Linked DNA regions of Coturnix japonica. The protein of the gene in region 4 purifies or fractionates together with the protein of the main gene of each other region. This does not show direct contact. Links are inferred from orthologs where the notes say so. Each region holds a gene or a part of one and is shown on either strand. Other genes may lie near its edges. The genes, in order: SUDS3, SAP130, SAP30 and ARID4B.

Region 1 (7,572 bases), on a different chromosome or scaffold from region 4:
CTAAGCAGCAGCTTGGGAAATGTCAGGGTCTTAAGATTGTATTACCACCTCACTTTAGAGTTATGAGACTAATGGGAAGAGATTAGTGGAGTGTCTTGGGTCAGTGCTGCTTAAACGTGGTAGAAGCTATGTTGTAAATCTGCTGGTGGCCTTACATGGGATAATTGGTGTCAAGGAAGAGATGTTTCGAGTTGGTTCTGAACTCATTTCTCCAGTTGCCAGTCTGGCTGCGTATTTGCCCAAGTGTGGGGTTTTTTAGTGCTTTCCTATGTTCTTTTAATCCTGCTTAGTTTTAACAAGTCATTCTTTACCTCATTTAGATACCGAGGATGCTAGCGAGACTGATCTGGCAAAGCACGAGGAGGAAGACTTTGTAGAAATGAAAGAACAGTAAGTAGCCCATTCTAATGAAAAGTGAGGTAGTGTTTTTGCTGCCCTTTTAGGGGGGCTGGGGGAGGATGTCTTGTTTTTGTATAAAGCTCTGCAGTGCTTTGGACCAAGATTTGGGTTAAAAGAAATGTAGCTCAATGTAATAGCACGCATAATCATATTTCTTCTCAGTTCACGAAGCAAAGCAATGTTCTGAACAAAGAAACACACAGCAGCTCAGTTTTGCTGCGGATGAATCCCTCTGCAGGCAGATCCTTTAAAGAAAAGAAAGAATCTGCTTGATACAAGCCAAGCAAAAAGCAAGATGTCTGTGAAAATTACTTAAGCAGCTGAATGCCAGTCTTGTCCAGGGAGAGTTAACTTTTTGGAGACTTGAGGTAGCTTATTTTTACCTTAAGATGTATTTGCAGCTTTTCATGTTCGTTTACTGGCAACAGTGTGGTTTTTCACACAGGTCAGGAAGAGTTGGTGTATGTTAAACCACAGATACGTGAGAAAGGAAATGCAAGTCTAAGACAGCAATAGGAATAGACTTTGGTTTTAGTTTTGGGTTTGCCTTTTTCTTATGGTGTGTGTGCTGGGGAGTTTTATATGTGTACGTAAAATGTAGACACACATATATTTCGTGTATATGTGTATATGCAGAATGTTAAGGGCTATGTGAGGAAATGCCTTCTGTTTTATCAGTAGGAAAGTGAGACAAATATTGAGACATGATAAAGTGGCAGGATGACACTATTGCACTGACACTATTGCAAGGTTTTTGGTGTCTGTAGGTCTAAGTATCACTGTAGTTTTCCGTGTTTAAGGTAAATGACGTAAGTCATGTTTTTGCTGAACTCTTAAGGAAATGATTGACAGGAATGCATCGTAAAACTGATGAGCTGGCAGTTTCTTTTAGACAGGAGGATGTCTCATTTGTAGGATGTATGGTGACAATAATGAAAAGATGGTAGTAAATACCTAAAAGGTTATTTACAGGAAAAACTCACCTACATGGAAGCCTTTGGTCTGCTGGGAACTGCTGAGGTAATCTCCACCAAGGAGCGATCTCCAAGAGATGCTGCCTTAGTGGTGGTCAGCCCTTAAATGAGGTCTAGAGGAGGTGGAGTCAAGCTCCAACCCTTCCAGGAGTACAGCTAAATTACTCTCACCTGTGCTCCCACAGCTGACCCAACACTTGCCTCAGCTGGTTAATCAGAGGTTCAGGCTGTGATTACCAATTTCACATAGTAAAAGGGTATTTATCCTGTTTGTTTCCTGAAGTTCTTCTGAAAAGTTTCTAATTCAGTGTAAGCACGCTGTAACCGAAGCAGGTGGTGATACAAATAATTTGCTTGTTTCTCAATGTAAAGGTCTCTGTCTTTGCAGGATGTATCAGGACAAACTGGCATCTCTTAAAAGACAGTTGCAGCAGCTGCAGGAAGGTAAGTTTTGAAGGAGTGTTTGTGTTTTACGGCACTCTGAGGAAACTGAATATGAAGGAAAATATAATTGCCATTGAAACTGACTATTTGTTTTTAGGTACTCTTCAGGAATATCAGAAAAGAATGAAAAAGTTGGACCAGCAGTACAAAGAAAGGATACGAAATGCTGGTAAGCTGTGTTTCTTTCAAAGGTGCTGCGTATGCCTTTGCGTTACAGTTTTTGTTACACCTGAAGAAACATGAAGGTAACTCAGCACTGAAGTGTTGGAGCAAAGGGATTCTGTGCTCTGAGGGTGGGGTGTGGTTGTTATTGAGTTTATGAAACGTAATGGAATCTACCTTGAAAACACCCACCCCTCCATCAGTGTTGTTTGCAGTGTTTACTAAACAATGTTTAGCTATTGCAAAATGGCACAAATGAAAGTGTTTCATTTATATCTGCCGTTATGCCTACAGTCTTCCACATTGGCTTGTTCTTTTGTGCATCTTGTCTGACCCCTTAGGACTGCCTGCTTTCTCGGAAATCTCTTATGTGCTTGAGAACGATGAATATAGAGGATTTGCTCCTGCAAATGTGTCTGCTTACAGCCGTGACACTGAATGGGCTGCCCACATCTTTTGGCTGTGTTTCCAAAGTGAGGGCCCAAGTTCATTTTAAAGTGCCTTTCTGAGAGCCTTTATTGTGTTAACGCAGAGATACAGCTTGGAAATCAGATCTGTCTGCTTGCTTTCCTTCCTGTTCTCTTTCCAGTAGTTTTGAATCTTAGATACTGAAGCAACAACCTCTTATAGAAAAGTCAGATACATCCCATTATACTGTGAAATAAGTCAGAGCAGTTGTATGATGTCAAATACACAGCAGCCTTTCAGTAATGCGAGCTGTCTTCTGAAAGACTTTGTGATAGTAAAAGATTTGCTTGATGAGTTTATGTAAGTTGAGCTGCTTTGAGCTGCTTCTTGCAAGCAGAAATTCATCTTCTGAGATGAAATTACTGTACATTAGAGTGGCAGTCTAGTGATAATGGGATGTTGCTGTAAAATTAACTGTTAAGTTGTATCCCTGGCTGGCCAGGAGAGTGTTGCAGCAGCACCTTTCTTCCAGAGGAGGGCAGATTGTGCTTAGTTATGAATTAGGATAAAAACCTGACTGCCTACTGTTACAGGAATGGGCTTTTGCATTGATTCCTCCCATGTTGAGTGCAGTTTTTTGTTCTGCTTTCCTGTTGTGTTTTTTATTTATTTTTTTTGAGAATCCAAGTATTAATGCAGCAGCTTAGATTTGTCTGCATGTGATTATGTCTGTAATGGAAATACACATAGAATCATAGAATGGCTTAGGTTAGAAGGGACCTTAAGGATTATCAAGCTCAAACCCCCCTGCCACAGGTGGGACCACCAACTTCCATGTTTAATATTAGACCAGGCAACCTTCCTTGCTGAGGATATAGAGGCCTTTTCAAACAAAAGGTTTAATTTCAATCTTGGCTATCTATCTTACCTTTTACAGCGATTTAGAAAGTGATAACAGGCAAGAAAGCTGCTAATTTCTCAGGCATAAGCAGCCTGAAATCAGGCACTTGGTGTTAAATAGATGAATCAAACTGCTGCAATATTATTTCTGAAGGAATCATTGCTGGGATTCATAGTATTGGTCTACCCTGTCCATTTTGGCCAACCATGTGTTTCCAGCTATGTGTTTCAAGCTTCTATCTGGGAAATTTGTATCTAGAATTGATATATGACTGGAAGAAGGGTGGATTATATACTTGATATTGATGGAAGCAGTAGTTGAGCTGAAAAGACTGGTTTACTCCTGTGTAAGGTTTGCAAATGTGATTGAATAGCTGTAGAAAACGTGAATTAAGTTACTAAGTTGGGTCTGTCTTGTCTTTCAGAACTGTTCCTCCAGCTGGAAGTGAGTACTCTTAATTTATCACAATACATATTAAGTAAGTGGGAGGGGTTAAACCTGCAGCTTCATCAACCAGCTCTTTTTCTCACTTTTTGTTTCCCCCTTTGGTATCATTACAGTTAAGTACAGAATACTGTTGTGTTGCCTACAGTAACTTCCAGGCTGTCATTAAAAAGAAAATTAAGTATACACGTTTTCTTGACTTGCTGTATGCTACTTGTGTGTTTGGTTGTTTAAAAAGCTTGTTTGAGCTTAGATGGGGTGGTACATGATAAATGTGAAGAGCTTTCTGTTAGAGACTTGATAGGGTATGCACCGTTAAAGTGTGTTTGAAAGGAATTAATTCTTTTGCTGATAACAGTTCTGCTTCCTTAGTCATCTCAGGTGGTTTTGTGTTGTATTATTTAGATGCTGATAATCTGCAGAAGTGGCCATAGCTTTGAACAGAAGAGCTAATGAAAGCAGAGCAGTTGAGAGGAGGTGTTGCCAAGTCATTGACTTGAGATATTGGTTCTTTAGCTAACTCTTTTATCTTTTGATTTGCATTAGACAGATCAGGTGGAAAAGAATTATGTCAAGGAAAAGAAGGCAGCAGCAAAGGAGTTTGAAGATAAGAAAATTGAGCTTAAGGAAAATTTGATTGCAGAGTTGGAAGAGAAGAAGAAGATGATTGAGAATGAAAAGTTAACCATGGAATTAACAGGAGGTAAAAAAGAGATCTGTCATTTTTTCTTCCCCGTTTCACCCCTGCTTAGAAAAAAAGAGTTTAAAAAAGCCATGCTGGTTTATACAAACTGCTTGACCTTAAAACATCCCAAACATCAACTGATGTGGATCACAAATTGGTGGTCTTTTAGTTCATAGAATGTAGTTCATGATAAAATTCAGCTACCTGCATTATTAACATGTAAATCAAAGCAGTGTTGACAAAGGAACAGAGTGCAGAAGCTTTCTTGTTCATTTTTTCTCCTCTCTAAAAAGCAGATACTGAGTTCCTGTGATTTCTAGACTTGATAAAATGGTGCTGGCTCGTTCCTGAAAGTTAATCTCATGTGTTTGGATTTGTAGCTTCTTTTTAAAATGGATTTTTGAGATACTGTTGTAGAACAATATTTCTTAAGTTAGATTGAACAAAATTCATTAGTTGACTCACTGCATGTACCATGGCTTTCCCTGTGGTTAGAATCCCCTTGGAGACATTCAAGATCAAGCTGGGCTCTGAGCACCTGATTGAGCTGTAGATGTCCCTATTCATTGCAGGGGAGTTGGACTAGGTGATCTTTAAAGGTCCCTTCCAACTCAAAAGGTTCTACCATTCTATGATAATTTCCCTGAATTGGGATGGCAGTTGGAACCAATGCATTTTAATCATTTTTGTTACAGAATTCTGGAGAATGCCTACCGTATGTTGGTATTTTTTCACTAGGCTGATATATTTTCATGGTGTCCTACTCTATATACAGGCAAAAAGGGCTTCTTTAAGTTCCTGCAGAAGTAAAACTATTGAGAAGTGCCACAATATTGACCTGACCAGTGGTACCAGTTTTTAAATAGTGCAGATGGTTAAGAAGCTAAAGGAAGGTAAACAACAAGGGTTAAAATGTTCTACTTAAAGCTGGTAGCACAGATTGATTTCAGTTAGCTGCATTTGTGTCCAGACTCTGGAAAATGAGCATTAAATGGACGTGTTTCTCTTATGAAGCCCTTGGGTGCCTTGTCAGCAGAGGAGTGATAGGGCTGATAGGACTCCTTCACAGGTTGTGTTGCTCTGGTTCAGAACCAAAGGTCTGATCTGATTTCTTTACAAGAAGCAACTCCCACGTGTTACGAACAGCTGATGTGTTGCTGAGGTCTGTCCATGAATTAGACCTTTACATCTTTCTTAGCATCTGCAAGCGTTATGTAAGCTAATAATTTAATTGGTGCTCAGAAATGAGAAATAGAACCTGTTCGTACAGGCTTAAGTGCTGCTGGTGATGTACAAACCCGTTAGGGCTTGTCTGGTCTGGAAAACATCTTGTGCTGGTTGTTTATTTGCTTTTAGATTGTTTTTATGGGTCTTTCTGATCTTACCAACTCTGTGCCTTTGCCTTAACTTTGTTATTGTTAGTCTGGGCTTCCTCGCTGCTAAGCCAGCATACAGTGCTAATCCTGCAATTAGATCTTCATTGGGGAATCAAGGTCTGAGTAGATCTTGCCTTTGTAAATCTGCACGCCGCTGTTCTAAGGGTCTGAAGGAATCCAGTGTCTCCATCAGCAGGCAGCACAGCTGTTAATGTCAGGGTTGGGATTTGCAGAGTGAAAGGGAGACTGAGGAGGTGTAAAAAGAGCTATTCAGGGGTAATGTGTCTGATTTGGGGACCAAATTAATTCTCCACTGGGAAATATCTCCCCCCACTCTTGTGTGTCCTGAAGAGATGAGCTGTTTCATCAGGCACAGCTCTGGTAAAAGGTGTGTAAGTAACTGTGGAGAAGCATTTCATTCTATGTGTGTGTGCTAGGCCTCTCTTATCTCCCTCCTTCCAGACCAGCAGAAATGCAATTTGATTCCTTTAGAAGTAGCAGAATTCATCATGAATGCATACTGCAGGCTGAGAAAGAAGCACAATGGAACGTGTGTGCACTCAGTGATTTCTAAAACCTACAGAGGAGCTCAATGTGTGCAAGAATGCAGGTTGGCAACCTGATGAGTAGCAGGCTGGTTTGTGAGCATTGGGACTTCCTTGCAGTTTCAGTAGGTTGTAGCCGCTGCCTCCTGGAGCACCACCTTGTGTGGTTCTCACCTGTTAAGGCTCATGTAAGCTTGTGTTTCATTGTGAAATCTGTTGGTCTAAGAGCTTTAGCAGCTCTTAGAAAATGGCTTCAAGTTATCACAAATCTCAAGAATCACAAAGATGGGTGTCAGTCTCCATCTCGAATGTGCTAACTGTGCTGCTTAGTGTTCCAACCTGAAGATGTGAGAAAGAATGGTTGATCTGTAGCTGATGCCTTATGTGCTGCTACCTATTCAAGTTTTATTAGCAGATAACTCCATCTAAGAGGTCTGTTTAGACACAGATATGTGGTGTTAGCATGAGAGAAATGTTTGAGCCATCATAGCACTGCTGTGCTGCAGTTACCTGTACCTGAGGGAGATGCTGAGTGCCCCCAAGCAGCTGTGCCACTTGCAGACAATGAAAGCTGTAACCATGGCATCACAACACTGTTGTTCAGCAGTGGCCTAGTATAAAGGAGAGCTCATATTCACTGTCAGCAGTTCCAGCTTGGATGCTAGAAGCTGTCGTGAGGAAGATCCTGTTTTCTGAGTGATAGAGATAACATTGTTTTCCTTGTGCCCTCTGTAGAAATTACTGATTCTTACTCTTCTCCCACTGGCCCCATCAGCTTTCCAACTTCATTTCTCTACAGATTCTATGGAAGTGAAGCCTATCATGACAAGGAAACTGAGGCGACGACCAAACGATCCAGTTCCCATCCCAGACAAGAGGAGGAAACCTGCCCCTGATATCCTTCTGCAGAAACATTGGAGGGCTTTTGTATTTGAAGTCAGCATGCTGCCTGCAAGGCGGAGTGCATCACTGCTGTTGCATGTAGGAAAAAGAAAGATATGAGGTGCTGGAATCAGGATTTAATGTAGGAAATACCCAAGTACAATTGGTTATGCATATGGTGTGATTAACAAATAGTGTACAGCTGATCTATGGAGATAATAAGTTAAACTCTGCAGTGTCATGTGATAATGTGGGTGACTTTTTTTGGCATGGAGACTGGTTTCAATTCTTCTGGCAGTTTCTTCACAAAGGGTAATTTTAACAGGCCGTTATACATGAATGTTGAGGCAAT
Region 2 (7,572 bases), on a different chromosome or scaffold from region 4:
ACTTTCTCCTCAACCTCTATGAATGGTTTCTCCAACCCTGAGGTGCTGATGGGAGTTGGCCACATTCCTGACGCTTCTTTCTTGCAGCCGCCGCTGAAGCCCACGATGCCCAGCCGGCCCATTGCTCCTGCACCACCCTCCACCCTCTCAGCTCCTACCAAGGTTCCTGGACAGGTCACGGTCACCATGGAGAGCAGCATCCCGCAGGCTCCAACCATCCCTGTGGCCACCATCAGCGGACAGCAGGTCTGTGCTTCCTGCTGTGCTCACTGTAAGGTTGGGGCAGTGCAGTGCTGGCACAGCAGGTTAAGCTCTTGGAGCAGGGGGGAGGCAGAGAGCAGGCTTTGCTGTCTAGCAGTTACACACTGTTGGTGTAATCATCCAAATGACAGACTGCAATAGGAGAAACATATCCAAAGCTGTTCTTTGAATAATTGAATTTGAAGCCAGCGTGCCAGGGCACTCATCGCAAACCCTCTGAACTCTCAGGGCTTCAATGTAGTGTCCTGAGGAGGATTTGAGTTTGAGTGGCCGAGTGCCACTGTTCTTCTGACCTGAATGGCAGTGTGGTAGAGATGTGTGCCTTTAAGGTCACTGATAACAGAAGGGACATGTCCCAGGTTGGTGTCTGAGTGGCTGCTGACAGTCCGCTGTGTGCCAAACAGGGAAACAGGGCTCTGAAATTTTGACATCTTTCCTGTACGGTGTCAGCTGGCTCTGACTTCTCCCTGTTTCTTTACTCCCCTGTAGAACCCTTTGTACAATGTATTTCTACTATTTTTTTCCCGTCTTTAAAAGTCTTGAGGCAATGCCATCAGAATGGCTGCTTATCCACAGAGCTCGCTCTTTATTTCTTAATGTCTTTAATTCTGCAGGGCCATCCTAGCAACCTGCACCATATTATGGCTACTAATGTGCAGATGTCAATCATCAGAAGCAGTGCTCCTGGGCCTCCTCTACATATCGGAGCTTCCCACCTTCCTCGAGGTAAGGGCTGAGCAGTGTGTGTGGCTGCCTGTCACGCTCACCTCCTGGGCAGTGCACCCACCCTCTGAATCTCTCTTCACTGCTGATCTGTGTTGTATTGCAACCTCAGCTGTTCTACTTTTGTGCTGCCACCAGTGAATGCTTTCAAAGAAAAACAAACCTGAAAAACAAAACCATGCTGGCATAGATTGGCCTGTTGTGCAGAATGCAATGTTCTTGGTACTAAGCATCTCTCACTTAAGCACAGTGATGGCTGACCTACCTGATAGAGGATCATTTCAGTATGTGGTTATACGTGCTAATGTATCATTTGCATTTGCCCTTGGGTTAAATGCTGTTGCTACGTCCAGGCTCCTGTCTCCCTGGACTTCAGCTGCTGCAGCTTAAATAACAGCAGAGCAGCCCTTTAAAAGAAGCTCAGCGCAGTGATTTCTGATTAGCTCTGCTTTCTAAACATTTATGAGTTGGGTCTCCAAGTTTCAGCTGATCTGAATTTCAAAGCACCGTTTATGTTTTTATTTCCATTGAGATCCAATATTATGCCACTGCTCAAGGGGAACAAAAATGATGTGTGCAAAGATCCAACCTTGTATTGGAGTAGCTGGAAAGACTGCAGTATTGTTTGCAGCTGAAGTCAGTGTGGTTTTGGTCACCTGATTCCTGCACCCCATAAACCTGGGGTGTTCACCTAGTGTATTTTCTCTCCTCCCGATCTCTTTCTCTCAGCTTGCGTACCACCTTCCAGAGTAATTTCAGTCAGGAATGTTTATGCAGTGTAGTCCATCAAATGCTTTCAAGGCTATTTGCTTTTCAGAGCAGTTTTACCTGATCAGGAGGCAGCAAACTGTGGATACAAGGAAAACACAGCTCTCTGCTGTTGCAGGTTTACAAGTTGTTGGTGCTTTTTCCTCGATTTCTGTTCATTGCAGGGAGGTTTCTGCTATCAGGTAGCTTATTTCCCCATTAGCTCAGTAGTCAAGCTGCCTGAATTATTTCTACAGATTTCCTTAGCTAGGAAGCAGAGCCATTTGTATGCACTATTTAACATGCTTGGTTTGCTTCCCAGGTGCTGCAGCTGCTGCAGTGATGTCCAGTTCAAAAGTAACTACAGTCCTGAGACCAGCATCCCAGCTGCCGAACGCAGCCACGGCTCAGCCAGCAGTTCAGCACATCATTCATCAGCCGATCCAGGCAGGTAGCAGCTGGGCAGCTCTGCACAACCACCTGCTCCAAGTTCCTCCTGGCACCTCCTTGCAGTCCATAACCTGTAAATGCTTGTTTGTTGGCCTGCAGCTGTCAGCAGCTCTCTTCTAATTCAGTTTGTTGGGTATCCATTTCTGATAGCAACCTGTGAAATGGTCCCATTAGTCCTGTGCTTACAAGCTGGGAGCAGGACATAGTGTGATAGTGGAGCTTCAGCCTGAAAGGCCCAGCACGTCATGCAGATGGGGATTTATTCTTAACTGTATTGATGTAAAATAGAAAAAATTATTTTAGTATGCTTCCATATATCTCAGCTTCTATATGCATGTAAGAGAGAGACTGCAGGTATCTGCTCTCTGTTAGCGTTCGAGGTTAAAATAAAGGGTCAAATAGCTTTTACTTCAAGATCCAGTCGAATCATCTTTTTGACTTCCTATATGTGCCTTAATATGGGGTTTCAGGCTGTTCTGAAGGAGTCTTTGTTGGGTTTTATTCCTCCAAGAATGCGTCGAAAGCACTGCAGTAATTTCTGTTCACCTTCCTGGTCGGTAGTGCCCTCTGTGTGTCCTTTAAAAAGCAGAACGGATTTGCATAGGAGCGTGCAGATCAAATCAGAATGATTGAAAACATCTCAGAATGCTGACACTTAACGATAAGGTTTTTTAACAAAAAAAGGGATTCTAGGCAAATAATTCCTACTTGTTCTCTGAACCGCGGAATTTCTTTGCTGAATGTCTGCCTCTGTTCTTACAGTCTCGTCCTCCTGTGACGACTTCAAGCACTATCCCTCCAGCTGTGGTGGCAACTGTCTCAGCCACGAGAGCTCAGTCTCCTGTTATAACCACAACGGCAGCACATGCGACGGAGTCAACCCTCAGGTAAAGATGACTAAGGCAATTTTTTTTATAGTCTGCAGTGCTCTGACTTTACAGAGGCTGTGGGAGGAGGAAACGTGTTAGACATGTTGAGCTGATGATCCTCTGGATGTGGGATGGTACAACACAAATATAGGAGTGCCTGCATGCTACGGAAGCTTATTCTGTGAATAAAAGTTACTATAAAGATGAACTGTTGCACTGTGTTACAAGAATGGGCACAACAAATCAGTTGTGAACCACTGCTTCCTGGAAAGCTGAGTTTCCTTTCCAGAAGCCTGTGGGTAGTTCAGCCCATCTTTTTTCTGAGGACACAGTGAAGAATGACACGAGAATGTTGTAAAGCATCCCTGACAGGGAAAGCTTTTCTACAGAGCCACTTAGGGCAGACACCTGATGAGGACAGGACAGTGCACTTGAGTTCCTTGTGTTGCTTCACCATGTTTTTGATAGCAGTGCTGCTTTCAAAGAGAAAGAGAACAAAGCTAGATGCATCACTTTATCTTTAAGATGTAGTATCTACAGAGTTATCTTCATGATTGTTTTTCTCTCCAGCCGGCCCACCCTGTCTATCCAGCAGCACCCCCCTTCTGCAGCTATCAGCATCCAGCGGCCCGCACAGCCACGCGATGCGGCCACGCGGATCACGCTGCCCTCCCACCCGGCCATAGGAGCACAGAAGCCACAGCTCCACACCATGGCCCAGGTAGGCTGCGAAGGGGAAACCCTCCTGCTGCTTTCGGGCAATGTTTGAGTTTACGTTTGGGTGGATGAGATGAAATTTGGGAAAATAATACAGTATTAGAAATTGATGCTCTTTACATTCCGTGCAGCACGATTCTGAGCTAAGTAGATATCAAAAACGTGGTAGTATTTTAACTTGAAGCTTTTCTTCTTCTAATAGAAAACCATTTTCAGTACTGGTACTCCAGTGGCGGCAGCAACAGTGGCACCTATTTTAGCAACGAATACCATTGCTTCAGCAACCACAGCTGGTGAGTGTTCATAACGCTGTTGTGAGAGGGTTGTGGATTGAGGTTTTCTTGTTTCTTTATGCTGAAGTTGGAATCTAATTGGAATTGAGGGAACCTTCCTTTCTGCTAAAGACTGCATTTGGAAGTGCATAATTAGAATCCAGGAGAGAAGCTGCTGAGTTCAGGGGTTGTCTGGGCTGGGTTTTTTCACTCTTTAATTGGATATAGTTAGTTTTACTTCTATGTGATAGAGCTCTGCAGAAATATCCTGTCTGTTCTTTTTCTTAGGTTCTGTTTCTCACACCCAAGCGCCTACAAGCACCATTGTCACCATGACAATGCCCTCCCATTCTTCCCATGCTACAGCTGTCACAACCTCAAACATCCCAGTTGGTGAGTGATTTCAGTTCCAAGAGCAATGTGTGCTGGGTACTTTGGTTGTACTGTTTATGCTAGCAGTGTTTGTGTGCATTGGAACATCAAGGAGGGGAAACAAATCAATCCAAGCAGGGAGAAATCAACTAGAAGGTCTGCTGTGGCACAGCTTATTTCAGTGCCAGAAAGAAATTGATGTTCTAAGAGAAATAAGTAATAAAATGGCTCATTAACTTACTCAATTGAATTTTCAGACAAACAGAGGCTTTTTGGCATTTCAGAACCTGCACTGTATGTGCTAGGAGTTGTAACTGCTTGGCAATAGGGCTTTCTTAGCTGGTTTTTGTAAGTTCCTTCCCACGCAACCTTTCTTCAGGAAGTTATAGAGAGCAATAGAGACCCTGCATACATAGCAAGGAGGGTTGAAACAAGGTTATCGTTATGGTCCTTTTCAACCCAGGCCTTTCTGTGATGCTTCCTATTGAAGCAATGTATCATCACTGCGGATAGGAAATGATTGGAGGTTGGGGGTTTCTTTACAGTGGGGCTGGGGCTTTGTGGCTAGAGTAGGTGTGGTATTTGGTCTTGTGTAGGTTTTTTTTTCAGTGTGGCTTGTTTCTGTCTTGATTTTTGTTGGGGATTTTTGGGAACTAATTTTGACTCTGCAGCGTCTCCCAGCTTTTTCTGACTGATGACTTGTTTGTCTTTATGCAGCTAAAGTGGTTCCTCAGCAAATCACACATACTTCTCCCCGGATTCAGTCGGATTATACAGCAGAGAGGAGTAACCTCATACCCCTCTCTAGTCACCGGGCATCTCCAAACCCAGTAGCAATGGAAACCAGGAATGACAACAGGTGAGGAGATAACATTTCTATGAATAAGAGAGTGTGAGTAGCTTTTGAGTACCTTACTACTTGTCTGGGTTCTGATACCCCAGGGAACAAGTCCTGAGAGAGATTTGGTAGTTCTGAATTAATCGCAAGAGTTAATAAATATGACAGATGTGATGACAAAACTTGGGCAGCGGCCCAAAGACATGAGGTGAAGGTAGGCAGGTGTAGTGGTGTAACACTTGTTGTTCTTGCTGCCTGCAGGCAGTCGGTGCCTGTCCAGTTCCAGTACTTCCTACCGACCTACCCGCCCTCTGCCTACCCGCTGACTGCTCACACCTACACCCCCATCACCAGCTCGGTGTCCACCATCCGCCAGTACCCAGGTGAGGAGCTGTGGGATGAGCTGCTGATGCTTTGCTCAGTTGTTTGTGTGCCACCTGCAGCATTTGGGAGCAGCTGAGAGGATTGTACGCTCCATTCTGGTAACTTGGCACTGAGTCTGACTTCTTGTTGGTTGAGGGGAAAGCATGAGCAAAAGGAGCACTGAGCTACATTAGAGGCCTCCTACACACAGCTAATGACCATTTTGGTGTGAGTTTCATACTCAGTATCCAGAATTTCTCTTTAAAGTGTCAGATTTCACAGATCAAAAAGGAGTTCCTCCAAAGCAAATAAGCTCGTTATCCATCTTCATTCCCTCATGTTCTGAGAAGCACGTTTTTGATATGTTTTCATATGACTGCATGGTCTGAGAGAGAAGTATGAGCTGAAAGCAGAAAGCAAGTTGCATTGCAACCTCTTGGTGTTGTGTTGACAAAAATCAGGTGATAACCAGTTTGAATTGTTGCAGTAGTTTGTGGAGAGACAGGAAAAAAATATCACATATAACGTGAGCCAGTGCAGTCATCCCAAACTAAGGTCATTCTCTTGAGACAAAAACTTGGAGCACTTCACCTTGCTGAGTAGCTTAGGGCAGATATGGTGATTTCCAAACTCTAAGAAAATGCCTAATTCGGGTTTTCATAGTGTCTGCTGGTAGCATGTTGCTCTTGACCAGTACAGTGGCCTTGGAAGGACATGGAAGTTGCAAAGTCCATTTGCTGACTGGGAAAATATGCATAGGGAATTATGTGTTACTGAGGCCTGTTCTTTGTTAGTGACATTGGAAGTTGCTGTTGAAATTGAAGTTTCAGGTCTTGACTGTAAGTCATGAGCTTCAGGATGATGAGTTGGGATATGGACAGTGGAGCTATTTTGCTTATTACATTGATTTGAAGCATCAATTAAAGGTATTAATTAGGGCAGTAACTGGTGACACCTCAAAGCAGAGAACACGGTACAAGGAGGGATGCAAACCTACGCTGAGGACAGCCATGGAGGACTTAGCAAAAAGTACAGAGGAAACCTTTTGAAAGATCACTGAGCTGAGGGCTACCTCTGTGCTTTGAGGAAGGGGGTCAGCTTTGGCTTTCCAAGAGCCAGTTGTGCTTCCGCAGTCTCCAAAATGATTTTGTTGGATGGGCAGTTCTGCGACAAGTGTTTCACCTTCTGTACCCTGAGCAGACGTGGTAATAGGAGCCATTTCCAGGGACTGGTGCTGTATCTTAGCTTTTAAGATAGCTGTTTTTAGAGGGACTGGTCAGCACAAGAACTTGATGGAAATCCTGTGACAAAACCAGCTCGTTCAATTGAGAGCGTTCTCAATTGTTAGCAGACAAGCTCATTGCTGCAAGTTAGCACTTCATTCTGTGCACGGCTGCAGAAATTATGTTGCTGTTGTGTCATGTTTGGAGCTCTGGAGAACTGCAGGAAGTCCAATGTGGCCACTAAATGTTCCCTGTGAGAAGTGCAGCACGACTTAGGGCAGGTCTGGAAAGATGTGACCATAGTTGCTTAGAGCTGTACATTCAAATTAGCTGAACTTTTCAGTTTAGGTGCGTCACTGGGAACGCCGCAAAGATGCTGCGTTCATTGTAGCTGCAGGAATCAGCCTGTAATTGCCTGTTGTGAGTCAGATAAGATTGCATTCTAGGTCAGATAAGATTGTGTTCTGGGTCAGAATGGTTTGTCCAGCTGTGTGAAGTGGAACTGTTTGATGTGGTGAGAGATGTGGGAAGTGAGCACTGTTTTAAGGTGCTTGCACTTGGGTCTGTCTTCTCCACTTGCTTTTGTACAGGCAAAGATGTTGATGTTATTAATTGATGTAATGAGTTCTGTGCAAGACTGTGTTTTGGAAAGAATTCCTCGAGGCTTCCAGGGTGCTGAAGCAGGAAAGGTGCCAACTGTGGGTACTTGGAAGCTTTGTGTGAAAATAAACAATGAG
Region 3 (8,036 bases), on a different chromosome or scaffold from region 4:
TTTATTTCTGACTGACATCTCATGCAACATGAAATGAAATGTTAAAGCAGCTTGGATGGACAAATCAGTGCAACAGTGACTCTGAAACAAACAGATGGATGTGCTCTTTTAACTTGCTTGAATGGGAGCTTGTGAGAAGAAAGATTATTGTAACCTAATACATAGCTCAGTACAAAGCTGGGGGTGGGCTTTGCACTCGTTGAATTTTAAACGTCTCACTTAAGATGCATTCAGATAGGACCCATACTTTTTGTTTGTAAAGTGTATTTCAGTGTTTAAGTCCCACAACAAATAACATCTGCCATGTATATTCAGCTAAGAACGCTTCTTGTTTCTGAACCAACACTTATGCTTTTTTCTTTTGCATGTGAAAATCAGTCCTTTTAAAAGAAGGTCCTTTGCTTATTGCACAAGTGAGCTGGTACAAACTGTGAAGGGGAATGTATTACAGATCTTCAAAGCTTTTACAGTACACAAGCTTATCAGTTTTAATCCTGTAACACCTAGATTATTCCTAAAATACCAGGTTTATTTTTGGACCCTATTTACTGCTTTAAATCTAATAAAAGCACGTGTTACATAAACTCTTATACACTCGTAATTTTCATGCTACAAGCTGGAGTGCTTTAAAAAAACTAAAGGAATATTGGCTTCAATGGGATGACTAAAAGACCTGAATGAAAACACCAGTTTTACACTAATTTAATTCTTTTGGTTAAAGGTAGGATTTTCTCTCTTATCATTTTATTTACTTCTACAGTAAACTCTGTGTGTGCTAATGGAGATTTTGTTACCCGATTAAGTATTGAAACAAAGTTGCATTTTAGCTATTCAAGAGAAGAAGTTTAAAGAAGGGGAAAAAAAGTCGTTTGCAGGTAAATCTTAATGTTCCTGTGTTTTCAGCTCAATGCTTAAACAGCTGGACAATAAATGGGAGGCAGCAGTTAGTGGGTAATGGAGTGGGAGAGGATCAAACATTTGAGAAAGAAGGGCATGATAAAAGGACTGAACTTTGTTTCTGCTGAGGAGGAAGAGATTTGTTCTCTGTTCTCTGTGTTTATGGTTAGAAATAGATCTCAGCCTCTAAAGTACTTACAGTACAACGTATCAAATGTTTCCATTTCTGACACACAGACAGTGATTTCCTGTTGATTTGGTTGCTCTTCCATGAAAAACATCACGGGACGTTGTACAATATCTACAGCAAATTAAGGAAATCTGTTTTTAATTGGAACAGTTACAGTCTGAAACAAATAAAATGCTCATTTACTGTTAAAAATTGCACCAGTCATTTTCCTTAGTGCTGTATTTGCTAACAGGATAATTTGAGGTGCTGAACATAAGCAAGCGCACTAAAATTCTCTTAGACTTCAGATGAATGATACCTAATGGGGAAGGGAGTAGTAAGCCCCAAGTGAACCTTATCATGCCAAGGTGTGTATGCAGTCATGAACCATATTTCCTTTACTCAGCTCTTGTGAGGCCCCATCTGGAGTACTGTGTCCAGGTGTGGAGTACTGTGTCAGGACAAGAAAGACATGGAGATTTTGGAAAGGGTCCAGAGGAGGGACAGGAAGATGATCAGGGGACTGGAGCACCTCCCCTGTGAAGACACGCTGAGGGAGTTGGGCTTGTTCAGCCTGGAGAAGACAAGGCTGCGGGGTGACCTCATTGCAGCCTTTCAGTACCTGAAGGGAACCTACACCCATGAGGGGAGTAAACTCTTCAAAAGGGCTGACAATAGCAGGACACAGGGAAATGGTTTTAAGTTAAAAGAGGGAAGATTTAGGTTGGATGTTAGGGGGAAGTTCTTCACTAGGAGAGTGCTTAAGCACTGGAAGAGGCTGTCCATGGAAGCAGTGGATTCACCGTTCTTGGAGGTATTTAAGGCCAGGTTGGACGGGGCCCTGGGCAACCTGATCTAGTAAAGGTGTATGTTTGGTGGCCCTGCCAGGCAGGGGGGTTGGAACTACATGATCCTTGAGGTCCCTTCCAACCCGGGTCATTCTGTGATTCTGTTACTTGCAACACATTTACAGTGTGCTCGCAATCTATTCAAGGTGATGTGTCCAGTTATCATTCTTCCCTCTCAAATACAAACCAGTCAAAAGTGAACAGGAGTGGGAGTGGGACATACAGCATCTCAAAGCACGTAAGCTGCTCAGCTTCCACCTGTACCTGGTCCTCCTTGGTGCCAGGAAGTTCAGGGCCCATAAGGTGTGAATCTGGGCATTCTTTTCAAGACAAAGTAGCTTTTAGGCATTCCTACCAAAGGAGATGTTCCTTCCCTGTTCCTGAATCATTCACACAGTCCTGCCCTCCATCAGAGCTCCCTCTCTGCTAGGACATGATCATATAACTGAGCAGTAAAGCAGATGTGGGTTTAACATAACTGATTTTCTTTTCCCTGGTCTAGTTGTAACCAGATCCAGTTTGCCACAGAGCTTTAGAAATGCTTTTACAGGCACAAAGAAAGACAGGGCACAGGTGTGAAAGTCAGCAGCTTACAGAAGAAGCAGAACTGTGTTTCTCAGCCCTGCTGCAGCCTTATCATGATCTAACCATGAAACTATGATACTGCTCTATTGAAATTCAGCTTAGGAATTAACATATTGGCGAGCACGGCTGAAATCAGGCTTTTATCTGCTCACGAACTGTATAAAGAGGATCAGGAACATATCTGAGACATAGTAGTCTCTACATTTTAACAGACCACAGCAAACATAACAGACTGTGTATTTTATGCTCAGCATAAGGTCAAAACCATCTGATGAAATGAAACGGATCACAAAAGACACAGTGTAAGCTGGTAGAAATTGCTACTTGTGACCCTGATTTCTGCTGGAAACTTCCTGGAACTCACACTTCTTCCTATATCTTCTTTAGGTAAGGTCTCCTACTGTTGTGTGGCTTTGTTTGTTATTATTAACATCATTATAATCTTTGAAAGGGTCGAATCACAAGGAACTTGAGCAGCGAGTTAAACGTCCCTTTTCTGAGCTGACACAGTGGCAGGGTGTGGAACTGAACCCAGCTGGGCTGTAACAAAGGAGGGTTCGGTATTTTTTCCAGCTCTTAACCCAATTTCTCCCTTTAATCACAAAACGTGCCCTCATGCATAACTGCTGTCTGTCACTGTACGCTCAGCCTAACTCCACTCGCTGGATCCTTCAGTCGCAACTGCTGGGAGCGTAAGCGGGACCTACCCTCGTTCTCTAATGCCAGGTTACGCAACCGGATTAAAAAGCCATCTGCAGCACAAACCCAAACTGCAGCATAATCGCACTCCCTGGCTCAGGCAGTTGTTGGGCTTACACGGGATCTGCGTCTCCTCAAATCGCTCGCTGACCTCCCGGTTACTCTCCTGATTCCACACTCGCACAGTAATGGATACGGCCGCATATTTCCGCGGTTACCTCACGGCGCTCGGGCCCGTTAGCGAATTTAAGGGCTCAAAAAGGAGCGCAAAGCCGCCTTTTTGCGCTCTGAACGCACTCGGACGAAAATAGGTCAGAGGCGGCCCCACAGCGGCTGAGCTATTACAGGCTGTGCGTTAACGCGGCTCTCGTGTAGCTTTCTTAGAGCTCGAAATATCTCAATACAGGCAGCGTTTGATCCGGACACAACGCGGAGCCTCAGAATCCACTTCCCGCCCCCGGTAGCGGCACGGCCGCATTTCAAATCCCAACGGCCGCGCCGACGGGGAGGAGCGAAGGCGGCGTCCTACCAGCCGGCCCGGGCCGACACCGCCACATGCCGGCGGGGGGCGGGCGGAGCCGCGGCACCGAGCTGCAACAAGCTGCGGTGTGTGCGGAGCGGAGCGCCCCGTCCGCCGCGCAGCTCGGGAGCCGTAGTTTCCCGGCCTCGCCGCCCGCAGCGCAGAGCGGCGGGACGAACTGCGTTTCCCGGAGCGCAACGCGGCTCGGCCTTGAGCAGGCGCAGTGCTGAGGGGCGGGGCGGCGGGCAGGTTGCTGTTGTTGCATAGGAAACAGCTGAAGAGTCTCCACATGACAGAGGGGGAAGGAGGAAGCGGGGCGGCCCGTGGGGCGCCGCCAGCGCGCCGGTAGCCGCGGGGCTCGGAGCGAGGGCGCCCGTCGCGCCGCGCGTGTTCCCTCGCGGTCCGGGCTGAGCGCGGCCGTAGAACCCTCCGGGCCCGAGTCCCCTCGCCGGGGGGAAGCGGTGGCGGCGCTCGCGGGGCTTCCCGCCGGCCCGACGCGGGGCATGAACGGTTTCGCCCCCGAGGAGCTGCCCCAACGCGGGGCCGACCCCGCCGTCGCCGCCGCGGGCGCGGTGAGCGGTGCGGGCTCCGGAGCGGAGGTGCCGGCGGGGTCGGCGCCCCCGGGGCTGGCCGTGGGAGCCGCGGGCGCGGCCGGGGCGGGCGGCCCCGGGGCCGGGCAGCTGTGCTGCCTGCGGGAGGAGGGAGAGCGCTGCGGCCGCGCCGCCGGCAACGCCAGCTTCAGCAAGAGGATCCAGAAGAGCATCTCGCAGAAGAAGGTGAAGATCGAGCTGGACAAGAGCGTAAGTCTTACGGCAGCGGGCAGCGGCTCGGGGGCGGCTTTTAAAGTTCTTTTTTGGCGTGTTTTCTTTTGTTTGCGGGTTGTTTTTTTTTTTTGTCTTTGCCGGCGGCGGGGAAGCGCCGTTTCCCAGTCCCTCCTTTCCCGCAGCGCTGCCGCCGCCCCGTCCCGCCTGGAGCCCGGCGCTGTCGGTGCCCCACCCGGCGGCCGTGGGCGCGGGGCTCCGTGTGGGGAGGGCTCGGCGCGGCCGCACGGTGCGGCCCTGTGCAGGAGAGCTGGGGAATGAGGGGAGCGGCCCGCGTGTCGCTTGACCTTGCGGAGGTAAAGCCGTGCGGATGGGGAGGAGGTGGCATTTTGCCTCCCGCGGGATGTTCCGGAGGCTGCCCGCCTTCCGTTCGTGCGTGTTTGTTTGCCGATCCCCGAGTTGCTGCGAGCGGTTGGAGGGAGGGTTGTGTGCGCGCTTGTCCCCGCTGCGCGACGTTCTCTGCCAGTCAACCGGTAGCCGCTTCCCCCCGTCCTCCCGCCGAGTCGGTGGAGGTAACATAACAATGCCTCCGTGCAGCGCTATCAGGCAGAGGGGCTTCCCCACCTCGCTCCGCGTGAGCGAGGCTGCCTAAGGAATGTCTCTGTAGATGCCTCTGTGCTGCCAGGCTGGGAGGAGCTTGCACGGGTTTGATTGAAAGATGCGGTCTTACTCTTGTAGGCGAGACACCTTTATATCTGCGACTTCCACAAAAACTTAATTCAGAGTGTGAGAAATAGAAGGAAGAGAAAAGGCAGTGATGACGATGGTGACTCACCAGTGCAAGACATCGACACTCCAGAGGTAGCCAACGGTTTTTCTAATAGTTACGTTAAGTCTGTTCCTGCTTCAGCCGTGCCTGCTTTTGGGGATGGCTCCTGATGTGCTTGGCTTTTAATATGACAAAAGCAAACTGGATTCCAGGGTGTATTTTCTCTATTAGATGTGCAGAATCTCAGGCAGCTGCTGTTTTGAACTTTCCTTACAGTTTTGGCTCCAGGAGCCTGCTAGAAGTTGTTTTGCTATGAAAATCAGTCTTTGTAAAGGTTGACAGGACACACCGGACTTGGGCTATAACTGCTTCTCTGTCACATCCCTCCAATCCTTTCCTTCCATGTGAAGCACGTTGCAGATGGTGCCTGTAGTTACCACTTAGTGTAGCTGGAAGTTTCTCAGTGAGGGAGCTCACTGGTTTTAGTCCTTCTTGGGGATAGAGATGCTGAGGCAGTTTTGCTGAGGAGGAGCTGAAATAAGAAGGCATTTCTGCTTGCCTTCCTTATTGTAGGCCAGTGAAACACCACCCGTTTTGGAAGTGAACTACTTTCAAACTTTTTTCATAGTATAATGTGAATGCACTTAAAGCTTTCTTCTTCCTACATGTGTGCTGGATTATTTCTGTTACAGTTTGTGTGTTAATCGTTGAGCACAGCCTACCCGGCCTCAACCAAGAGATTTATCCAGTGTTTGTCAGAAGGTGCTTGAGGATTGTGAACTTATCCTTAAGGTCAGCGTCAGCAATGTCAGTGATGAAACTTCATGCAGGAATCTCTGCCTGGAGGCACACGGCTCAAGCCTGAAGGCTTTGACTATAAGAGGATTTTAGGAGATTGGAAGTAGTTTGATGCTGGGCTGTGGTTTTTGTCAGCTAAAAACATTGGATGGCATCTCTGAAAGCTCTCTAAACCTGCTGTTCTTTGTGGCTTTTGGTAGCTGTCTGGCACAGTGGCAACTGCAGCTTTTGCCTGTTTATTTGCTCAGACAGGAATAATAAAGCATGACACAACTGATGGATATCCCTAGAACAGAAGAAAGGAAATGTATTTTCAGTGGTAGTGGTGCAGGGAAGTAGGTAGTTCTGGAGAGTTTCAGCATGCAGTTCCTGTGTGGTGTTGGTGTGCTATAGATGCCCACTGGCCCCTTGATTTTTGAACTGCCATCCAGTTTACTGCTGACCACCTGTAGGGCATTCCCATTTCCAGAAGTAGATGTTAGGAGTGATTTGCAGTGACTTCCACAGTGCTGCTGTCTTGAGTACGAGGGCATGCCATCCTCTTAACACGTAAGGCAGGGTTGTATCAAGTCTGACCGGGTCACCAGGAGTGCACTGGCACTGTTGTTGCCTTAAATATTGCATAGCTGAGGCTGCTGGATGACTTTAAAATAGAAGTTAATGCTTTAACCAGTCTTTAATGCAGGAAGTTTGGAGAACAGTGCCGTAATTGCAACTGACCTAATGGAATTTCTTGTTCAACCTGCTTTCTTAGCTTCCTTTCCTCCTCAGTCTTCTGATTAAACTTTGTTTTACGCTGTCAAGAAGGTGAGAGGGTAAGCTGTTGCTGGGAGAAGCGGCTGTTGATCTGAGTTCATGGGATTAAAAACTGAGAGAGTACTGGGTTGAGGCAGTGTATTTATATCCCGGAGAGGAGCTTGTGCAATGCTGTGAACTGTCAGCTCACACTGAAAAATAGTTTTGGGCAACTATGCCTATGTACATAACTCCTCTGTTGTGCTTATTGTAGCAGGGATATTCTTGGACACCAAGACCAGCTCTTTTTTTTTTCCTCTCCCACCTCAAGCCAAAAACCTTCATGTTCTAGACTTTGTCTTGGTTCTAACTCATGCTGTCTCATGGTGCAGCTATGCTGCTGTAGACTGCAAAAGACTTCATGGCTGAAATTGAAATGCAGAGCCTACCTTTTGAATCAGCATCTTCATAGATGTTATGATGTTATGAGTTTTGTTACTGTGCTTTGTGTCATCATGCTGAAAATGGGGGGGGGGGGGAAGGACAACAATGAAAGAAAAAAACAGAGACGATTATAGTACTGTAAGTTCTAAATATTGTCTGCTGCTAACAGGAGGAAGAGCCGTACTTAGTAACAATAAACTGCTCTGAAACTGCAATGGAATGTTTTTCTTTCTCCTGGAAGGTGTGGAGTAAAGTTTTGTTCTCTGTCAAAACGAGCTCTACTGAGCTGACAGTGTGTGGTTGTGTATGTGCAAGTTTCCAGGATGACGAGGGAGACCTTATCAATTACATTAGGTTGCTTTCTTCCCCCTTTCTCCTTTTCTTTTAGGTTGATTTATATCAGTTACAAGTGAACACACTTCGAAGGTACAAAAGACACTTCAAGCTACAGACCAGACCGGGACTTAACAAAGCACAGCTTGTTGAAGTACGTATGAGTGTTTACTCCATAATAGAAAATGCAATTTGCCATGGCATGCGTTGTGTTGGGTTTTTTTTTTCTCTGCACAATGTGATCCTTGCATGAAGTGCATATATAATCTGGGTTTTATGAGAGCAGAAAGGAGCTGCTTATCTGGCTTCCTTCACTGCCATAGCTCCTGAGCCAAGGAAATCAGAAGGAAGAGCTTCTTTCTAGAGAACGGACCCATAACTTTCAGAAGGAGCATGTGTTGCTTGAAAATAGTGAGCTGAACAGTAAGGTGACCTGTGCATCAGCCACACCTTCCAACTTAAGTATCCTACTGATGAT
Region 4 (7,572 bases):
TGTAAGAGTCCTGTACAAGTATCTGTCATGGGTGACATGACAAGAAAGAAAAGGAAAAAAGAAAATGAAAGAAAAAAATCCGTATCTCTGCCTCAGTACTGTGCACCTCTCTCCCCAAAAAGCAAAACCAAAGAACAGCAACCAAAAATTTTAATACATTCCAACATTCTAATTAGGGCATTTGTGGTCGTATTCAAGTTTGATGGTTATCTATGTGTGTCTGTCTGTACTACTGCAGGGCTGCAACATCGCTCCTCATACCGGTGAAGGATCACAGTGTATCCCCAACTCCTTCTTCCCCTCCGTTGTGAGGATGTAGCCTGTCCTCCTCGCTCATCAAAATAGCCTGCACTGAGTTTTGCTGGTGTATGAGCTAGCGGGTAGATGCTTATCTTGTCATGTCTCTCAAAGAGACTTTCATTTTGCATTGCCTTTGCAGTAGCTCTGACTGGAGTTTTTTTCATTGTGCTTCTGTTATTAAATATGTTTAAATGACAACAATTTCAGCACAGTGCAAATAGTTCCTAATTATTTTTTTTTTTTGTTTTGCTGATTTCCTTTATTACATTCTCCAAGTGAGTTTAATGGAGAAGAGGAAGTATACAACAAAAAAACTCTACTGCAGCCTTGCTTAACCTTATTTTCAGCCATCCACTAGTTTCCACAATTTTTGTTTCTTTTCCTGTCATATTTAATAATTTTATTTTATTGAATTCTGAACTGCCTTCGGTCTGACTTTAAAAGCGATGTGTTTTGTGAAGCTTTAATGTTTAGCAAAAGGAGGCTGTTGAAGGATGAAAAAATTAACATGGAATGGAGATGCACACACACTAAAATGTTAGAATTTATTAGTTAAATTTAGAAGCTTTTAGGTAGTAGTGAAAAAGGAATGTAGAAAATTAACTTCTGTTCAGCGTACTGGTGTGAAGTAGCTTAGTCATCCGTTTCTGAGAATTTTCATTATAAGCTTAATATTTTAATACAAATGGTTGTGGCAAGTGACATTTTCTGATGAAATTAAACCCCAGTGCTTTGTTTGGAAACCCCACTGTTTATTCATTTAAGTAAATCTAATACAAAGATTTATTAGTGCAATGAACTGAATATCCAAAATATCCATTGTTATTTCAGTTCTGGGATTGGTCCTGCTCACTACGCACGCATTCAGCTGGTACCTCATGGCAGTAGCATGCGGTGTCATTGGCTGTGGTTTGTCAGTGCTGTGGATTAGAACTTCTGAGAAAGTGCAAGCGTGATTTTATGTTCTACTTCATTCCTGAAAGTTGCACAGTACATCCAAGCATTAAGAAATTGCTTAACTGCAGAAGAAATAGAGATCTGATATCCCTTGAGCATTAACACTGGTATCTCCCAGACTTTGTGTGAAGGAACAAAATTAAGAATGTGTCTTGATTGATGGCATTTATGATATCTGTGACAGAGATTCATCAAAAATCCAATTTCGGATGTGTCATTACAGTTATTGCCTTACGTAAGTTGAAAATGTGTGCTATATAAAACTCCACGTGACATAGCATTGAGGCCAATTTTGTTTGTATAGTTTCTTGTTCCTGACTGCAGTAAAAACAAACTTAAACTTTTGAACCTAAGTGATTTTCTTATTGACAACCTGTAACTCACAAGGGTAAAATGTTTGTGTGCTTTTTTTTTTTTTTTTTTCCTTGAACAGGAGGAACTAGAGCCTTTTCCTGAAGAAAGGGAGAACTTTCTTCAGCAATTATACAAGTTCATGGAAGACAGAGGTACACATTTCCGTGTTTGACTTGTTAGATTTAGAGGTATTGCTTAGCAGTGCTTCAAAGACCTGAGTCTGTGAACTAGTAATACTGTACGGTTTATTTTTGGAAACAGTGAGACTGTATCCCACATGTCTGGCTTCCCATCCTCTCAGAAGATGAGTCTGTCTGTTAACTCTGCCCCTCAGCAGGAATAGGCTGGTTCTTTTAGAGGCAGTTTTTTTTCAGTGGGTGAAATAGAAATGTTTATATAAGAAGCAAGAGAAGTTGCATCGTTTGTGCATACTTGTTAATATATCGAATAATGCAAATGTATGAATTTATTTGTATTAATGAACTACAGGCAAAATGGCTTATTAAACCTCATGAGTTTTAGTTTTCACAAAAAATAAATAGTAGATGCACCAGATGGTCAGAAAATTTACCGTACTATTTAATGGTGTAGTAGCATATGTGGAGTAGATTTCATGTTGCTCTCAAAAAGATATTTCAAAACACAGTAATAACTGTCTGTCTTTACAGGGACTCCTATTAACAAACGACCTGTACTAGGATATAGAAATTTGAATCTGTTCAAATTATTCAGACTTGTACATAAGCTTGGAGGATTTGATAATGTGAGTATTACTGATCTATAAAGTCTAAGGGTGGTGTTTTTCCTTAATAAAGAATAAAGTATTGTGTAGCAGCTCCAGATATTAAAACTGAATTCTACCAGAAACTAGTTATATTTTAAATAAATTGTCTACTGAGTGTGTTATTACTGCAGCATAAAATCAGTGTGTTTCTGTGAGATTTCAAGAAACGTCTGTCTAATAAAATCGTTACCCTGAAGTGAAAAGTGTTGCTGCTCAGTGAAATCCCAAAGGCAAGTAACTGTAAGTTCAAGTTGGTTGTGAGGCACTTAACTCCTACCTATTCTGGGCAATATATAGAGGAACATGCTGACAGGAATTCATCTTGGTGCAGTAGTTGATGCATAGGGAATTCTTAGTCAAGTAGATTCTGTTACTGCTTTGAGCTACTTCTCGTAAATCTAGCCTGTCAGCTGAGAAGGTTGGTTTGTGCTGTGCCGCCTTTCTACTATAGAAGGGAGGATCTTGTACTTAGTATCACAGTAGATCTCTTTTACCTTCACAGATGGTGAGAAATGAGCATGTCACACTGTCACAAAGCTTTGACACCAAAGGGTGCGTTAAAGATATACAGTAGCTACCAGTCTTAGATTATCTGGTGCAGTGCTGCAGGGATGTAGTATTATTAATACTTTGAGGTTTTTTCTTTTCAATTTAATTAAAATTCTAGATGTGATATTTCAGGAATTATTTTAACTGTGCTGATCTTTGTATTTTTTCCCCCTTTATTACCACCTAGAGAGAAAGGCCAGCTGTGGCTTACTGAAGTGCAGAAATGCTAAATTGCAACAAGTAGTTACACTAGACTACAGTTTGCATTACAAAGTAGAGTGTACAATAAATAGAGATTTTGTAGAGAGAATTAAATACTATTGTATGAAATTGTAGATGTTGTCAGCTTGGTCTTCTGTATGTCAGTTAATTCAGCAGCCATTGTTACATTTGCTTTAACAGATTGAAAGTGGAGCAGTGTGGAAACAAGTTTATCAAGATCTTGGAATCCCTGTATTGAATTCAGCTGCAGGATACAATGTTAAATGTGCATACAAAAAGTAAGTAATAAAGCCACACAGTTTATGCTAAAACAGCACTAAAAAGAAATAGAGTTCTTGTGATAGTGGTGGCAATATACATAAATTCTATAAGTTTGGTTGTAATGCAGTCTTTGTAAGCTTTAAAATATATTTCTTCTATTAAGCTTCTGCTAGGTAACACAATTTTTCTTCAAAAAAAACTTGTTTATCAGAAGTGTGGTTTTTTTTTTAGATATCTCTATGGCTTTGAAGAGTACTGTACATCAGCAAATATTGAATTTCAAATGGCATTACCAGAGAAAGTGACAAGCAAGCCTTGTAAAGACTGTGAAAAAGAAAAAGATTTAAAGATGCGTGAAGATCCAGAGCAGGATGTAAAAGAAATAAAAGCGGATAAGGAGGAGCGCAAGCAGGAGGAAGTAGTGGCAGTACAACAAGAAGAAAAAAAGCTAGCTGAGAATGATAATGAAAGTAAAGAAAATGATAAGCCCGTGCTTCTGGTAAAATATTTTAATGTTCATGTTATATCCTGTTGATAAAGGCAGATAATGTGTTGATAACTATGAGTTTGTATTAAGACAAATCTCTGTAATTGATTTAAAACTAGACAAATAACATGCTGTAGATTAGTTTTGAGCAATATTTGTCTCTTCAGTGTCTGTCTTAGAGGTTCATGGTGTCAAAGTCTTTGAATTGGCAGGAAGCAGATGAAGCTTTCCACCTGTTTGGGGCACTCTTGAGTCAAATGGGGACTGATTAGCATGCAGCTGTATTGTGATCTGGATAATGCATGCTTACAACTATCTTCACTGCTGATACTTCTATTTTGTATTGAGCTAGGCTTTTAAGCCCTCCCAGGTTCTAGAGAGATATGGTGTATGCAGTGGCATAATTATTTCACTAATCCAGAGAGACAAATCTTTTTACCTTTTCAAAACTCAATACTGGCCCAGTGGTTTTAGAAAAGGAGAACTGAGGTGGTAAGCTGAGCAGTGAAGGTACAGCAGTTTGCTCTGGAAGTGGTGTAGTTCTTCAAGTCAATATGCAACTTAGCTGTGATGTATGCAAGTGGCACCAGCCCTGGCCTGTCTGCTGCTACTAACTCCACAGTGACCGTTAATGCTGGTGTTTCTGCATACTGAGCGCAGACATATCCTGTGAACTGTTTTAAGAGTTGTGTGCTAATGTTGCTGTAGTAAAACCTAGGAGATTGGATTCAACCAAGGACTACTGTATGTGTGCTGAGAATTTCAAACATAAAACCAGTGGAAATGCTGTAGTTTTAGAAAGAGCCCTAGAATCTAGTGCTTTCTTTTTCCCTTCACAATAACTTGTGCATTTTGTTCTTCTGAAATCCTCTGAATTCTTATTTTTTCTTGTAAATTAACTGAAGGTTTTATTGTCTTAGGGGAACAAAAAAAATTTACCAGATTCAGTGTATACGCAGCCTGACCAAGAAAAGGACTTGAATGTAATCAAAACTGAAGATGAAATCAAATTAGAAGATAAAGAAGAGGAAAAGATTAAAGAAATGGAAAATCCTACCATAAATGCAGAGGCTGACGAAAAAGACAAATCAGGGTAAGTTACTCTGTTTGTAATCAGATAAGGCATCTGATGTGTGCTCATTAACTTTACTCTTGTCTGATTTGAAGTTCAAATTACCTCCCTGCTGTGATTAGGCTCCTGTTTTCTGGAGATCTGTGTGCTGCTCTTTCTCATGGTTAGTGCTGCTGAAGTTAGTGAGTCTAATTAAAAATATGTAACCATTTTTATAAAGCTTTATGTAAGGCTTTTAAAAGATCCAGGCCAAAATATTTGCAAGCTTAGCAAGCAGCAGAATGTATAAATCTCACTTAAGACAAAAATATTGCAAATATTATGAGTAGAATAGTATTGTCTATTTAACTTGGTTGCTAGATTTTGTTGTTGGACAGTAACATGGGAAGAGAGAAATACCTCACATAATTTAGTAACAACTTTATGTTTATTTAAAGTGGTTACTTTTTAAATTTAGTAACCACTGAGCGGAGATAACACTTGCAGGAGACCCTTGTGCAGCCCTTAGGACTGAAATTTTCAAAGTAGGAGATGAATTACTTGGATCTGTGCATCCTTAATGCTTCCATGGATGAAGTTGACTTTAGTTATAGACTTGACAACTTCTCACATTTCAGTGAAAAAGTAAAAAAAAAAGACAGCCAGATCTTGAAAAACAAAAGCAAAAAAACAACCATAAAAACAACAATGAAGTCTAAACCAGCATATTGTTCTCACTGAACCGCAGGGTGGTAGCAGTTCATATTCTTAGGATTAGAAGCCTTGTACATTATGATTTTAAGTAAGAAGATATAGGTAGCTGTTACAGGTTATGTGTCAAAGTTCTGTATTATCTGAGGATACTGTATGTGACTGAAAACGGTGCAGATGCTTAAAGGAGAAACTTTTCTTTTTAATAGGGAAAGCAGCTAACGGCACCTTACTCTTTCTAGACAGTCTGAGTCTCAGGGGATGTTTTATGTAGTTAATAGCAGCTGTTGCCTGACCACTAGTTTCCTTGTTCATTCTACTGTTCCTTTGCTATATTTAGCAGATAAACTCTCTTCCATCTTAATATCAGCAACTGTTATTGCTTGTTCTGTCCCATTAAAAGATATAACAGAATGCTATAGCTCATTGTGTTGATTTCCAAGTTCATTTGAAAAGATTTTTCAGTTTTCTTTTAAGCATTTTGATTTCTGAGAGAATCCCCCCCAGTAAAATGTCATCTTCCCTATTCTCAAGGAAATTCCACTGAAAGCTTGTATAACTCAGAAATCCAGAATAACAAGAAAAATCAAATTTGCCTGAACTCAGTAGAAGAGCCTTTTCCCTGTGTATGTGACTTGACTTATGTTCTAGGTGACTATCATTTTAAAAGACTGGTTGCTGGAACTTTACATCCTGTTTTGTAAGAGCAACCAGAGAAATGATATTGTACCAGGTTTTCTGAATTTTCATAAATATTGAAGGCTAATTTTATGATACTTTCAAAGTATGTAACTGAATGTAAGGAAATCTGCACTGCTGAGAGAAAAGCAGTATTTAAAAAGATCTCTAAGTACTGTGTGTGTTATTGTGGTGGTATTTAGTACTTGCTTATATTTGGAAATAAGGCCGGTTTAAAACTTATCACAATGCTATAGAAAGAAAGTGCAGCTATGTGCTGCATTTGGTCTTGTTTTGTTATCATTTCTGATTCATGTCCATTTGGGTTATTTATAACAATAAAAACACAGTGTTCTCTTAATTTTTCCTTCATAAAACCAAGATGATATTTCCCCTTAATTTTCCCCAATTCATCTTATGGTTAGGCTTTTCTCTCAGCTTCTCAGTCTTCATCCCATAAAGACTACCATCATGCTATTGCAATTCATGGTTTTATTGTATTTTTGTAGGAAGTTGCCTGGAATAGAATAGAAAACAGAACTCTAAAAATGGATAGGGGTGATGGTTCTGGGAGTATATTTTCCTGGAATAATTTCAACTTATTTAAATGAAAGGTTTGTAGCAGCTAGTAGTCTCTCAGCATTTGTAAGCATAATTAAGTACTGTAGTTAGTACTATTAGCTTAATTTCTTTTGCTGTTTTTCTAGAGACTGATAGGATTTTGTACTTCCTATAAGCTGTAACGAATTGAAAAATGATGCCGACATCCTAAATACTTTGAAAAAAATATAATGATATATCTTCATGGTATAAACACCATAAGGTTTTTGTGAGCCCCTCCCCTTATCGGAAGGGAAGAATGCTGTGGGTTGAGTTCTGTGTTGAACTAACATACAAGTGAAGAAAAGCTAACATACAGAGCTAGCATAGAAACGGTAAAATGCTTTTTTATAGATGGAAAGTTAATCACAGAATACCGCTGCAGACTGATTTTTTTTCTCTCCTCAGTGTACTCCTGAAATTGAATTTTAAAGTACTGACCATCTATCTTCCACAGTGTTAACCGAATAGCCAGTCAAATGGAATCTAATATTACATGAGGCAAATTCATAGTGCTGCTCTTTGAACTTATATCTTTAGGAATTATATCCTGTAGATACATCTTCATGTAGCATCTTTAAATAGAGATGCAAGAAGACAGAAAAACTTGAGGGTTGT

The links.
Region 1: the proteins of ARID4B (region 4) and SUDS3 purify together in Homo sapiens (affinity purification with western blotting; 3 studies listed by BioGRID, with this or other methods). This does not show direct contact. The link is inferred for Coturnix japonica from reciprocal best matches to the Homo sapiens genes ARID4B and SUDS3.
Region 2: the proteins of ARID4B (region 4) and SAP130 fractionate together in Homo sapiens (co-fractionation; 4 studies listed by BioGRID, with this or other methods). This does not show direct contact. The link is inferred for Coturnix japonica from reciprocal best matches to the Homo sapiens genes ARID4B and SAP130.
Region 3: the proteins of ARID4B (region 4) and SAP30 purify together in Homo sapiens (affinity purification with mass spectrometry; 5 studies listed by BioGRID and IntAct, with this or other methods). This does not show direct contact. The link is inferred for Coturnix japonica from reciprocal best matches to the Homo sapiens genes ARID4B and SAP30.

Annotation. Positions count from the first base shown.
Region 1 is NC_029530.1:8,708,819-8,716,390, reverse strand, and holds part of SUDS3 (sin3 histone deacetylase corepressor complex component SDS3), read left to right. Parts: intron 1-320; coding exon 321-390; intron 391-1,761; coding exon 1,762-1,817; intron 1,818-1,914; coding exon 1,915-1,986; intron 1,987-3,712; coding exon 3,713-3,732; intron 3,733-4,278; coding exon 4,279-4,435; intron 4,436-7,137; coding exon 7,138-7,233; intron 7,234-7,572.
Region 2 is NC_029524.1:1,632,042-1,639,613, forward strand, and holds part of SAP130 (histone deacetylase complex subunit SAP130), read left to right. Parts: intron 1-87; coding exon 88-246; intron 247-875; coding exon 876-987; intron 988-2,053; coding exon 2,054-2,178; intron 2,179-2,943; coding exon 2,944-3,068; intron 3,069-3,620; coding exon 3,621-3,771; intron 3,772-3,969; coding exon 3,970-4,060; intron 4,061-4,327; coding exon 4,328-4,432; intron 4,433-5,128; coding exon 5,129-5,270; intron 5,271-5,510; coding exon 5,511-5,632; intron 5,633-7,572. UniProt on the Homo sapiens protein: Acts as a transcriptional repressor. May function in the assembly and/or enzymatic activity of the mSin3A corepressor complex or in mediating interactions between the complex and other regulatory complexes.
Region 3 is NC_029519.1:38,526,873-38,534,908, forward strand, and holds the start of SAP30 (histone deacetylase complex subunit SAP30), read left to right. Parts: upstream 1-3,895; 5' UTR 3,896-4,221; coding exon 4,222-4,518; intron 4,519-5,217; coding exon 5,218-5,340; intron 5,341-7,613; coding exon 7,614-7,712; intron 7,713-8,036. UniProt on the Homo sapiens protein: Involved in the functional recruitment of the Sin3-histone deacetylase complex (HDAC) to a specific subset of N-CoR corepressor complexes. Capable of transcription repression by N-CoR.
Region 4 is NC_029518.1:34,297,597-34,305,168, forward strand, and holds part of ARID4B (AT-rich interactive domain-containing protein 4B), read left to right. Parts: intron 1-1,690; coding exon 1,691-1,763; intron 1,764-2,279; coding exon 2,280-2,374; intron 2,375-3,346; coding exon 3,347-3,444; intron 3,445-3,658; coding exon 3,659-3,926; intron 3,927-4,834; coding exon 4,835-5,007; intron 5,008-7,572. UniProt on the Homo sapiens protein: Acts as a transcriptional repressor. May function in the assembly and/or enzymatic activity of the Sin3A corepressor complex or in mediating interactions between the complex and other regulatory complexes.